4 linked regions of the Saccharomyces cerevisiae S288C genome follow. The main gene of each other region encodes a partner of the protein of the gene in region 2 in a complex. Each region holds a gene or a part of one and is shown on either strand. Other genes may lie near its edges. The genes, in order: RSM26, MRPS17, MRPS9 and MRP10.

Evidence for each region.
Region 1: MRPS17 (region 2) and RSM26 share a complex: the UniProt entries of both Saccharomyces cerevisiae proteins name them as parts of the mitochondrial small ribosomal subunit.
Region 3: MRPS17 (region 2) and MRPS9 share a complex: the UniProt entries of both Saccharomyces cerevisiae proteins name them as parts of the mitochondrial small ribosomal subunit.
Region 4: MRPS17 (region 2) and MRP10 share a complex: the UniProt entries of both Saccharomyces cerevisiae proteins name them as parts of the mitochondrial small ribosomal subunit.

Annotation. Positions count from the first base shown.
Region 1 is NC_001142.9:616,442-619,534, reverse strand, and holds RSM26 (mitochondrial 37S ribosomal protein mS42 RSM26), read right to left. Parts: upstream 1,302-3,093; coding exon 501-1,301; downstream 1-500. Other genes in the region: ESCRT-II subunit protein VPS25, read left to right, coding at 1-378; AIM25 (Aim25p), read left to right, coding at 2,201-3,093. UniProt on the Saccharomyces cerevisiae protein: Component of the mitochondrial ribosome (mitoribosome), a dedicated translation machinery responsible for the synthesis of mitochondrial genome-encoded proteins, including at least some of the essential transmembrane subunits of the mitochondrial respiratory chain.
Region 2 is NC_001145.3:635,782-638,765, forward strand, and holds MRPS17 (mitochondrial 37S ribosomal protein uS17m MRPS17), read right to left. Parts: upstream 1,224-2,984; coding exon 510-1,223; downstream 1-509. Other genes in the region: YMR187C (uncharacterized protein), read right to left, coding at 1-203; GCV2 (glycine decarboxylase subunit P), read left to right, coding at 1,719-2,984. UniProt on the Saccharomyces cerevisiae protein: Component of the mitochondrial ribosome (mitoribosome), a dedicated translation machinery responsible for the synthesis of mitochondrial genome-encoded proteins, including at least some of the essential transmembrane subunits of the mitochondrial respiratory chain.
Region 3 is NC_001134.8:533,721-536,675, reverse strand, and holds MRPS9 (mitochondrial 37S ribosomal protein uS9m MRPS9), read right to left. Parts: upstream 1,417-2,955; coding exon 580-1,416; downstream 1-579. Other genes in the region: RTC2 (cationic amino acid transporter), read right to left, coding at 1-101; alcohol dehydrogenase ADH5, read right to left, coding at 1,859-2,914. UniProt on the Saccharomyces cerevisiae protein: Component of the mitochondrial ribosome (mitoribosome), a dedicated translation machinery responsible for the synthesis of mitochondrial genome-encoded proteins, including at least some of the essential transmembrane subunits of the mitochondrial respiratory chain.
Region 4 is NC_001136.10:370,430-373,114, forward strand, and holds MRP10 (mitochondrial 37S ribosomal protein mS37 MRP10), read left to right. Parts: upstream 1-1,818; coding exon 1,819-2,106; downstream 2,107-2,685. Other genes in the region: type 2A-related serine/threonine-protein phosphatase SIT4, read left to right, coding at 1-277; NPC2 (sterol transporter), read left to right, coding at 811-1,332; FAD1 (FMN adenylyltransferase), read right to left, coding at 2,259-2,685. UniProt on the Saccharomyces cerevisiae protein: Component of the mitochondrial ribosome (mitoribosome), a dedicated translation machinery responsible for the synthesis of mitochondrial genome-encoded proteins, including at least some of the essential transmembrane subunits of the mitochondrial respiratory chain.

The sequences.
Region 1 (3,093 bases), on a different chromosome or scaffold from region 2:
AATGAGGACATCCAAAGATCTGTATCACAGGTATTTATTGATGAAATTTGGTCGCAAATGACCAAAGAAGGCAAATGCTTACCGATTGACCAAAGTGGTAGGAGAAGCAGCAATACCACCACTACGAGATATTTTATATTATGGAAGAGCTTAGACAGTTGGGCTTCTTTGATACTACAGTGGTTCGAAGACTCTGGAAAACTGAATCAAGTCATTACGTTATACGAATTGAGTGAAGGTGATGAAACAGTCAATTGGGAGTTCCATAGAATGCCCGAAAGCTTGCTCTATTATTGTTTGAAGCCCCTATGCGATAGAAATAGGGCCACAATGCTGAAAGATGAAAATGATAAAGTAATTGCCATTAAGGTTGTTTAAAACACGAGCGAGAGGATAAAATAAAACTATTTACAGTATATAAGATTTTGGTAGATCCCCTTCTACCCGATACCTTTATAATTACATATGAGGGTAAGAGGCTATCGCTTCCTTTCTTTTCATTACTTCGATATACCAGAGAATATCCTATTATTTACCACTGACCAATTCAAGTTATCTAGAACATTCTTCACGTATTTGGACCGGTTACCAACGCCATAATCATGTAAATAAGCATGATCCCACAGATTGACACAGATTATAGGCATGGTCCAGTCTTGAACCTTACCATTCAACTTAGTAGACTTTCCTATCAGTTCTTTCATTTGTTTCAAGGTAGCAAATTCATCGATGGATATCGCACTGTTTAAATCAAATGACTGGTTCCTGGGAAAATAATACGGCGTACCATTATTATTGCTCGTTAATATGAAGAGTTTTTTCTCATTGTTTTCAACTAGAAATAACCAGCCTTGTCCCAAGACTTCATTCTCAGCACGGTAAATCATTTCCTCCTTCACTACTTCCCAATCGCTGCCGTTGAATGAATCTTTGATTTTGGATAAAAAAAGCCTAGAAGGCTCTGTCTTCACAACGGCGTTCGAGTTAGTGCCATGTTCAACAGCAGAAGGTAGAATGTTCTCCACGAATAAATGGTTATTATGGATAGAGGACGCCAAATTGAAGATGTTTGACTGTAATGGATTTCCTGCAGTTTTCAGCAATATGTGAAATGGATAATATGATTCCAAAGACTGTCCCGCTGTCGCCAGCGTTAGCTTATCACATAGATATCGCTGGTAGTCGAACCACACCGTCTTGAATCCCGAAGAACTGAGTATATTAGGCACTCCATTTTGCAGTAGGGCCTTAGAATTTGGTAGTTTAGGTACTACGTGAATACCCCTTTTGAAAACAAGCATTTCTCTGCGTCTTAGTTGCGCCAAGAAGACGATATTATGTGGTCTTCAGAAATTTGCCTGCAAAATATCCTCTTATTGTGAAAAGACTTTTGCTATACCCTTCTTACTTTTCCATGCTTTGCGATACTTCTTGCTCAGTCCAAAAAAGTACTGCGGCACCTCTCCTAAGATTCTTGGAAAGATGGGAAGTGAAAAAAAAAAATACAAAAAATAATGAGAGCTAAGGGATTCGAACCCTTGCATCCGAAGATATCAGAGATTTTAGAGGTTAAATCCACCTAAATCTGACGCCTTAAACCACTCGGCCAAACTCCCATTGTTTGTTGAATGGACTTCATAAACAATCGCATATCATTGATTGGTTACTTTTTAAGAAGGGATTGATGCCAAAGTCAGATGGTAACCATTGGATCAAGTGATAACACGTTTAAATGAAACAGTACCCATTTCTATAGACCAGATACCACGGAAGGATTACTGTAGAGGTGAGATATGAGATAGAGGGAATTGCCATTCGGTTAATAGCATATATAGGTTTTTATATGGAAGATTTGTGGGGCAATTGATTACCTTGTCAAAAATATATATAATATCTTGGAGCTGTAAAGGAAAGGCAATGTACAAAATCGACCAAGAGCTTTACTAAGTCTGGACAGTCGTTTGTCTGCCGATGTGGAAAAATAGCTTTCAATATAGTTATAGGAAGAATTTTCATAACAAGTGCGCGGTCTTGTTCCCCTTAACAGGTTCCGAACCTAGTATGGGAGAGGTTTCATTGACTTCGTTATATACTTCATTCAAGTTTGTAAGCCTACCGGCAATAAGGATTTGAAAAGTACGAAATGAAAAAAGACAAAACAAAAGAAGATTAAAGGTCAAACATAAAGGATAACACCGACATGCATAGAACGGCAATATTTCTAACTTACCGATCATGTATGAGAAATTTCAGTACACTGAGTAAAACATTAACGGTTTCTTCTGGTAAAGTAATCAGAAACGGTCCATTTAGGAGAGTAATTCGTGAAAAGAACCAAATAACGAAGGCGCCATCAGTAAAAGCATTTAAAGAAAATAGCAATAGCGGGATAATAAAAGTACATGATCCTATAGCTACTACGATACTTAATGAACCGACAGTTATTATCGAAAGGCAAATAGAATTTATGAACGTTTTTCTAGGTTTCGAGCAGGCTAATAGGTATGCCATAATGGATGTGAACGGAAACAAAATAGCATCAATGATGGAAAGAGATTTTTCTATAACAAAGGCCATAATGCGGCAGTTTTATCGTCTACATCGTCCTTTTTTGGTAGATGTCTTTGATAATTGGGGAAATGTAATAATGACGATTAAAAGGCCCTTTTCGTTCATCAATTCTCATATAAAGACTATCATACCTCCTTCCGCGTATGTTGATAATGGCAGTGACTCCACTCACTATCACGACGGTAAAGAAGGAACGACAGTAGGAGAGACCATTCAGAACTGGCATCTCTGGAGGCGTCGTTACGAATTATTCCAGAAAGATGGAGTAGAAGGATCCACTTTTGACCAATTTGGTAAGATAGATGCACCTTTCTTATCATTTGATTTTCCTGTAACAGATGCTGATGGTAAGATAATGGCGAGTGTAGACAGAAATTGGGTTGGTTTAGGAAGAGAAATGTTTACCGATACTGGTGTTTATGTTGTTAGATTTGATTCGCAGAGATGCTTTGATAATATTTATCCTACTGAGATGCTAAGTTCTCAAGTACTAACTTTGGATCAAAGGGCCGTGTTATTAGC
Region 2 (2,984 bases):
TCCTTTGGTAGGTCCACTGTGTTCGGAAGAAAAAGTTCAACATGCATTTGATAGAGCCATCTTATATAGCAGCGTTTATGAATTTGTAAGTTGCAACCGCACGTGTGCTGTAGCCATGTAGAGTCATATGTGGATTCTTCCAAACATATCCAGCATATGCATCTTTTTTTTATGAGAGATAAAAAAAAATGAGGTGGGGTCATATAAAACTTGGACTATTTCCTTGGAATTTTCTTGTTTGTAAAATCAGAGCAGAGCTCTTTTATTTACTTTTGTTTTTGACGATGGGGACGAGCGATGTACTCACATCTTCGATATCACTTGCCTGAAAATATATAAATGCGTTAAACGATAGAAAATCAAAAACATCGTTCTTTTCACTAGAATATTTTAAAGTCAAAACATAACACTTTACTATTTACGTAACGAAGTCTTGTAGTTGTATATATTTACAGAGTGTAGTGCTTTAGTTGAGAAAATATGACACTCGGCTTTCCTCTTTCTTTTATTTACTGGCTTGGTTGTTGCATATCCATCATGACGTGCTTTCTTAACAAATTTTTTTTGATGTTTTTTTTCAAGGTCAAAGGATCCTCAACACCATGATCCTTCAAAAATTGATCACATTTTAGATCATTCGACAACAATTCGGATAATCGCGTTTGAATACGATCAATGAGACTTCTTTGTTTCTCCAAATTAACCTCCAATCCAGAGATGTCTAACTGTAAAAGTTGCCTCACTGTTTCTTGTGAAAAATCTTGAATGCCGTACCTTTGTTTAATCTCCAATAACTCTTTCGGCGTTGACCCGCTAGATAAAGCATCTTGGATGGTCCTAATATCACGTAAAAGGGTTGTTTTTTCATTTAGTTTATTCTCCCTCACTGATCTTTTATCCAAAAATTCTTTTGCCTTTTGGGCTTCTTCTTTTGCAACGCTTAACTGAGCTTCTGATTCGTATAATGCAAATTGTTGACCCTTGTTTCTAATAATTTCTGCAATGGCAAAAAACTTCCTCTTTGAAAGCGGCCTCGTCGCTTCTATCCTTACTAAATCACCCTCCCTTGATATTTCACCTTCATCATGCACTAAATAATCTCTTCTATGAAATAACTCCTTGTTGATTTTCTTATTAAAGACTTTTGTTTCTACACGTACTTTAACCGTCTTTTGCATCTTCCCTTGGGAGACGACCAAGCCTAAAAAATTTTGGCGAGCCATTACAGTTTAACTGATCTTGATTTGACTTTTGAAATCTCTAACCCGAATTCAACTCCCTGAGTTTACTTCTGTTTGGCCTTATTTGTGGATTTCCTCTAACAGTTTGATGCTCGCATTGGTTTGGCACAATCCCAAATTGCTTCAGAATTCTAATCTTATGAAATAACAATCATGTTACCCGGTTGAATCGTTACCCGACATCTCTGACTCTTCTTGAGGTATAGACTCCTCCTTTTCGGAGTCATGACTCTCAGAGGAGTCATCGAAGTCAGCATTGAGCTGTGAAGGACCTTGATAAGCTAGTCGAAAGATCTCCAACGAATATAAATGGATGTATATATAGCAGGCTCGAGTGGCACAATTTTCTTCTCTTCAAGTTCCAGTGAATTAGTCTTTCTCGTGTGTACCAATCTTACTGTATTGATTGCTGCGCGATCTAACCATCAACTAACCACAGTTTATTGGAAAAACGTTTCCTAATACCAGGAAGATAACATGCTTAGGACAAGAGTGACTGCTCTCCTTTGTAGGGCTACTGTCAGGTCAAGCACCAATTATGTTTCATTAGCGAGGACTAGATCATTCCATTCTCAATCTATTTTGCTCAAAACAGCCGCTACAGACATAACGTCTACACAGTACAGCAGGATTTTCAATCCTGACTTGAAAAACATTGATAGACCGCTAGATACTTTTGCTAGACGTCATTTAGGTCCTTCTCCTAGCGACGTTAAGAAAATGTTAAAAACAATGGGTTATAGCGATTTAAACGCATTTATAGAAGAGCTCGTTCCTCCCAATATTTTGAAGAGAAGACCCTTGAAACTAGAAGCTCCTAGTAAGGGATTCTGTGAACAAGAAATGCTTCAACATCTAGAAAAGATTGCCAATAAGAACCACTATAAAGTTAAAAATTTCATAGGTAAGGGTTACTACGGTACGATTTTACCACCGGTTATACAAAGAAACCTGCTAGAAAGTCCAGAATGGTATACTTCTTATACGCCCTATCAACCCGAAATTTCTCAAGGTAGGCTAGAAGCGCTATTAAACTTTCAAACGGTTGTTTCAGATTTGACTGGTTTGCCTGTGGCGAACGCCTCATTGTTGGATGAGGGTACAGCGGCTGGAGAAGCTATGCTCTTGTCATTCAATATTTCCAGAAAAAAGAAACTAAAATACGTAATAGATAAAAAATTACACCAGCAAACAAAGAGTGTCCTTCACACCAGAGCCAAGCCGTTCAATATTGAAATTATTGAAGTTGACTGTTCGGATATCAAGAAAGCTGTGGATGTTTTAAAGAACCCCGACGTATCTGGTTGTTTGGTTCAATATCCAGCGACAGATGGTTCAATCTTACCGCCTGACTCGATGAAACAGTTATCTGATGCGTTACACTCTCACAAGTCTTTGCTCTCTGTGGCCTCAGATTTAATGGCTTTGACACTTCTAAAACCACCTGCTCATTACGGTGCTGATATCGTCCTGGGTTCCTCTCAACGATTTGGTGTCCCAATGGGTTATGGTGGTCCTCATGCTGCTTTTTTCGCTGTTATTGATAAATTAAACAGAAAAATTCCAGGTAGAATTGTCGGTATCTCTAAAGACCGCTTAGGCAAGACGGCCTTGCGGTTGGCCCTCCAAACAAGAGAACAACATATCAAGCGTGATAAGGCAACTTCAAATATATGTACCGCTCAAGCTTTACTGGCTAATGTTGCTTCGAGCTACTGTGTTTATCACGGTCCTAAGGGCCTA
Region 3 (2,955 bases), on a different chromosome or scaffold from region 2:
TAAATCTGTGGTACAAACACAACAATCCAACAGCATATTGATATGGATCCAGCCATCCCACTGAGATTCTTAGCATTCAAAATAATTGGGATCAGCTTCATGGCAGAAATTTAGGGATGCTCGCTTGAGGCTATTACGTCTGGGTTATAACAAAATATTGTGGGATATTACAGGAGAATAGTTTATTTATATGCCTGAACCCGGTGTTATTTGTAGTATTTATGGTTTATATTATGACTCTTTTTACATGTAACGGTCATAGTAAAATCTATTCTGATTTGCATCTTATCATCTCCTTCTTTTTTCCAATGGAATTTGAGTCATTGCTGCAAGGCCCCTTTGCTTTGCGGGTGAGAGGAAAAAAAAGATGAAGTATTATGTGCAGTAAGTAGAAGAAAATACTAACTGAGCAATATTCGAATACATATAACTTTATTTACAGGAATAACGAACGAGAGTTGTGCTTCTAATGCTGGGCGGCGTTGTATGCAAAATATATAACGTTTCTTCTGGCATGTGTCAAAAAACTCAGAGCACGCACGCTTCCGTTCGAAATTGAGGTAACAAGATGCACTAAGACTATCTCTTGACCCATGTTGGCATCTTTCTTGCCTTCTTTTTTCCTGGCTTCTTTCTTTCGACGTGCCTGTAATCTCTTGTTAAGACGCCAGCTTTATGTAGTCTGGATTTTAATAATGGATTGAACACAACCAAAGCTTTCGCAATGGCGTGCATGATTGATTCAGCCTGACCCGTAGGTCCGCCTCCAGACGTTGTCGCAAAAATATTGTACTTTCCAACTGATTCGATCACTTGAAGTGGATACATGATTGATTCTCTGTCTTTCATCTTAAGGAAGTAATCATTCAATTGTCGACCATTAACTAATATCTCACCTGTACCTCTAACAACGAATACTTTCGCAGTGGAACTTTTCCTTTTTCCAACGGCTATACTTCTTCCAAACTCATCTAAAGTTTTGATTTTGATATTATTGGAAAGCATTGAACTTTTTTTATAATATTGGGATAGTTCGGATGTGATTTCATCATTAGTAAGTTGAGGATCAATGTTGTGAAGTTTATTCAACATATACAGTAGCTGAGTATATTGCGTAGGCTTTAATTTCGTACCACCGCCGATTAAAGCGTACTCATCGAAAGAAATCCAAGGAGCTTTTGTTTGTTGTGCTTCATTGTTGTTCTGAGATGGCAGTTTTATGTATTTCCTTAGAAGTCTTTCGAGTCGATTAATACGATCTTCATGGTTAGGATTCGCCGAATAAAATGTGGCTAGCTTTGGGACGATCCTTCTGGGCAATTCATCCTCGGTTTTTTGATAAATAGTCCTAAAAGACATTCTCATAGGGGCAGGAGCCAGAGCTGCCCTTCGAAACAAAGAAAGCCTTGAAAACATTCCGCTTGGCTCAAACTCTGTCCACAACGAGTAAATTTTAGCTAATCAATTTAACCAATTTCTACTCCTCCTGGTTTCAGTTTCCAGTCGACATTATTAAATTTCTTTTCCGTAAATGGCCTATTTCAGTTTGTCTTACGCACGCAGTTGCTAGTTTTAAATATATCATTTTATACGTAAAGTTCATCTATATATCACATTATATGTCTCGTAAAACAATGGATTACAAAGAATTAGATATTGAAACGTTTGTATAGGTTGTTCTTGTAAGGCAAAATACCAAATGTCCACCGGTTCTCGCAAAGTACAGAATCACTCGCTATTTACTGAAGTTCAGAAATGGAGTAATTCTCATTGTTACAAATAAATCGTAAAAAGTCAATATCTACAAAATAGCTTATATAAAAAGTAAAAATATATTCATCAAATTCGTTACAAAAGATCATTTAGAAGTCTCAACAACATATCTACCAACAATTTCACCCTTCTCCATCTTTGCAAAAATTTCAGGAACATCCGATAGGCCAGCTAAGTGGATCGGAGATTTGATCAAACCTCTGGCGAAGAAATCTAAAGCCTCCCTTGTATCAGCTCTATTTCCAACACAAGATCCAACGATGGAGATTGATTTTACAACTTGATTGAAAACATCGGAATTGCAGTAAGCATGAGCTGGCATACCAACCAGGACGACAGTACCATTGGGCCTACAATACCTCGTAGAAGCCTCGATAGCTGCTTCAGAAACAGACACATTAATAACTCCATGAGAACCGCCATTAGTGGCCTTTATTATAGCACCAACAATGTCTTTTTCTTCCGTGAAATCGATGAATATTTCTCCGCCTAATTGTTCAAATAACTTTCGCTTGGCATTACCACCATCGATACCAATGACCCTGTAACCCATAGCAAGGGCGTATTGGATTGCCAGAGAACCCAAGCCACCGCATGCACCGGATATAGTGACCCATTGGCCTGGTATCACATTGGCTCTTTTCAACGCCTTATAAACAGTGATACCTGCACACAAGATTGGGGCAACTTCAGCAAGATTGACGTTTGGTGGAATATGGGCAGCTTGAACGGCATCGGCAGTTGCGTATTCTTGAAAAGTACCATCATGTGTGAAGCCAGTACCATCCAAATAAGGACATTGAGATTCATTACCTACTTCACAATATTCACAGGACATGCAAGTCCCATTCAACCATTTTATACCTGCAAAATCACCGACTTTCCAGCCCTTAACGTTAGATCCCAACTTAACAACAACACCAGCACCTTCGTGACCACCGATTAATGGAAATTTCAATTGAAATGGCCAATCACCGTGCCACGCGTGCAAGTCACTATGACAAACACCAGAATATTTAACGTGGACTAAAATTTCGTTAGGCTTAGGTTCCGGAACTGTGACGTCTTTATATTCCAATTTTCCATCTGTCTCATAAAAGACAATAGCCTTTTGTTTTTCAGGAATGACTTGCGAAGGCATGATGCTTTGATTTTGTAGATATGTAGTTAAATAATTTTCTT
Region 4 (2,685 bases), on a different chromosome or scaffold from region 2:
AGTTGCTAGAGAGTTTAACCACGTTAATGGACTGAACCTTATTGCCCGGGCTCACCAACTGGTTATGGAGGGGTTCAAGTACCATTTTCCTGAAAAGGACGTTGTAACCGTGTGGTCCGCGCCAAATTACTGTTATAGATGTGGTAATGTCGCGAGTGTAATGAAGGTCGATGAGGATCTGGAACCTACTTTCAAAATTTTCTCGGCTGTTCCCGATGACTACATAAGAGAATCCACGGCAAACCATAATAATCAAAGAGCCGGCTATTTCTTATAACACGACGGCATGCCCTCCCTAACTCGACGAATAAAAATAATTTTCACAATAAAAAAAAGACTACAAAAATCAGAAACTTTTTCATTACGCCATTTGCTACGATACGATACACAACAAGCACATTCTAAGAGCATTCCATTTACTATGGTCAAAATGACCAAATAAAAAATTAAAAAAAAAAAGAAGGAATGAGAACTAGTAACTACATATTCAACAATTGCAGTTTTCTTTTCCTTTTTGTCCTTGTCCTTTCTTTCCTATTTATATATATATATATATATATATATAATACTACTATGTTATATTACATTATATTATTATCACAATAATTATTACGTTCATCGTGCCGAAACGTCACCTCCCACGGTTTGGATCTATTGAAAGAGGGTGGAATCCCTGATAATAAAAAAACTTTAATCAACACTCGGGAGGGGAAATATAAAAGACTGGCGCTACTTAAAGAGCTGATTCGCCAAGGCAGAAAAGCATAACCATATTAAATCTTCTCCTTCAAAGCTAGCACGCCTTCCAAAATGACCCACAGCTTGAAAGCTCTATTCGCCTTGCTATTTCTTTACACAGCTGCTGTCAATGCGGGTGTGATTGGCATATTCAACGCCCTTCCCCCACCAAACACCAAACCAATTAACGGCGAATCTCCACTTTACCAATGTGACATTCTAGACAAGCAACTTGTGGAAATCAAAGAGGTCAATTTGGACCCTAACCCTCCTGTTCGTGGCGAAAATTTGACTATTTCTGCTAACGGTGAGGTCTTTGAAACTATAGAAGAGGGGGCATATATCGACGTTGAAGTCCGTCTAGGATACATCAGACTGTTATCCCAGACTTTTGATTTGTGTGAAACATTAGAAGATAACGATATCGAAGGCTTATCCTGTCCAATTGAACCGGGTGAATACAACATTAAGAAAATAGTTGAGATCCCAGGCGAGGTTCCACCTGGCAAATATGTTGTTGTAGCAAGAGCTTACACTGAAAAGGATGATCTGATCACTTGCTTAACCGGAGAAGTCATCTTCCCACCAAGGTGATCTGATTCATACAACTCATTGATCCGTGTTTATTTCCCTTCTCGTTCCATGTATTCTTTTCTTTTACCCCATGTTCTCTTCACCCGTTCGAGGCAGGGTTTTTCCTCTTTTTGTTATAACCACCATCTAGTCGAATGTGGTTACTCTTAATATTTTTTTGTCGGCCAATGCTTCAGCGCCTTTGTCAACACCTACTTCTTTTCCATTCCTTTCCTCTAATTAAAAATCATCTATTTAGTGTGTACGTATTAAAAACATGTCATTACATTGATATCTCATTGCAAAATTTCTCCCTTACGCACATCTTTGGTTATTATATATGATGACAGGTTCGTTCTCCGGGTAATGCGGACTTTACATATTAATTCTTTTCCCAGTATTTTAGGCAGAATATAAAAGCTTTGAGGCTTTAAGTGAGACAAAAGTCTTACCATAGCAACACGAGGGCTCGCCGAAACTTCCATCTAAAATAAAGAGTGCCCATTAATGTCCGGAAAACCACCAGTTTATAGATTACCCCCTCTTCCCAGACTAAAAGTGAAGAAACCTATCATTAGGCAAGAAGCGAACAAATGTCTTGTTTTAATGTCAAACTTATTACAATGCTGGTCTTCATATGGTCATATGAGCCCTAAATGTGCTGGCTTAGTAACGGAATTGAAAAGTTGCACTAGTGAAAGTGCCCTCGGCAAAAGAAACAACGTTCAAAAGAGCAATATTAACTATCACGCCGCTAGGCTGTATGATAGGATCAACGGTAAACCCCATGATTAATTTTATATCCAAAAGCAGCAAGAATGAAAACTTGATAATATTAAAGTCATGGCCTTGTATATACAAATTAAATAGTCTCAACGGAAAATATATAAACTTTTAATCTAATAGTAACATCAGCATTTTATTTTCTTTCCTCCGTTAAACCGTACTTAATTCTTGATCCTGCCTGCTCTCTCTAAAGTGTCATCAACCAAATACCAGCCAGGATAGTAATTGTCATGGTATTTGCTGAATCTTTCCTTATCCACCACGGAAATAGGTGACGTGTTTATAGCGGAACTACGTTCGCCTTCTGCGTCCTTGCCAAATGCATGAATGATTTCCCATTCAAAATGCAAGGCTGGATTATTGGAGTCCTTTCTCAAGTGTGGGTTAGGCAATGAGTTGTTAATTCCGCCGATTGATGTGAAACCTTTACCATATAGTCCACAAATTGGCTCATTAGAATACAGTAAGAAACTCCATATATTGGTTAAGTCCCAGTGTAAGAGAGGTTGCAACCTCATAAAATCAGGCCAGTTAGAATCTGTTCTTTGAATAGGCTTTAATGCTTCACCAAATGGGTCTGTGTGTCTA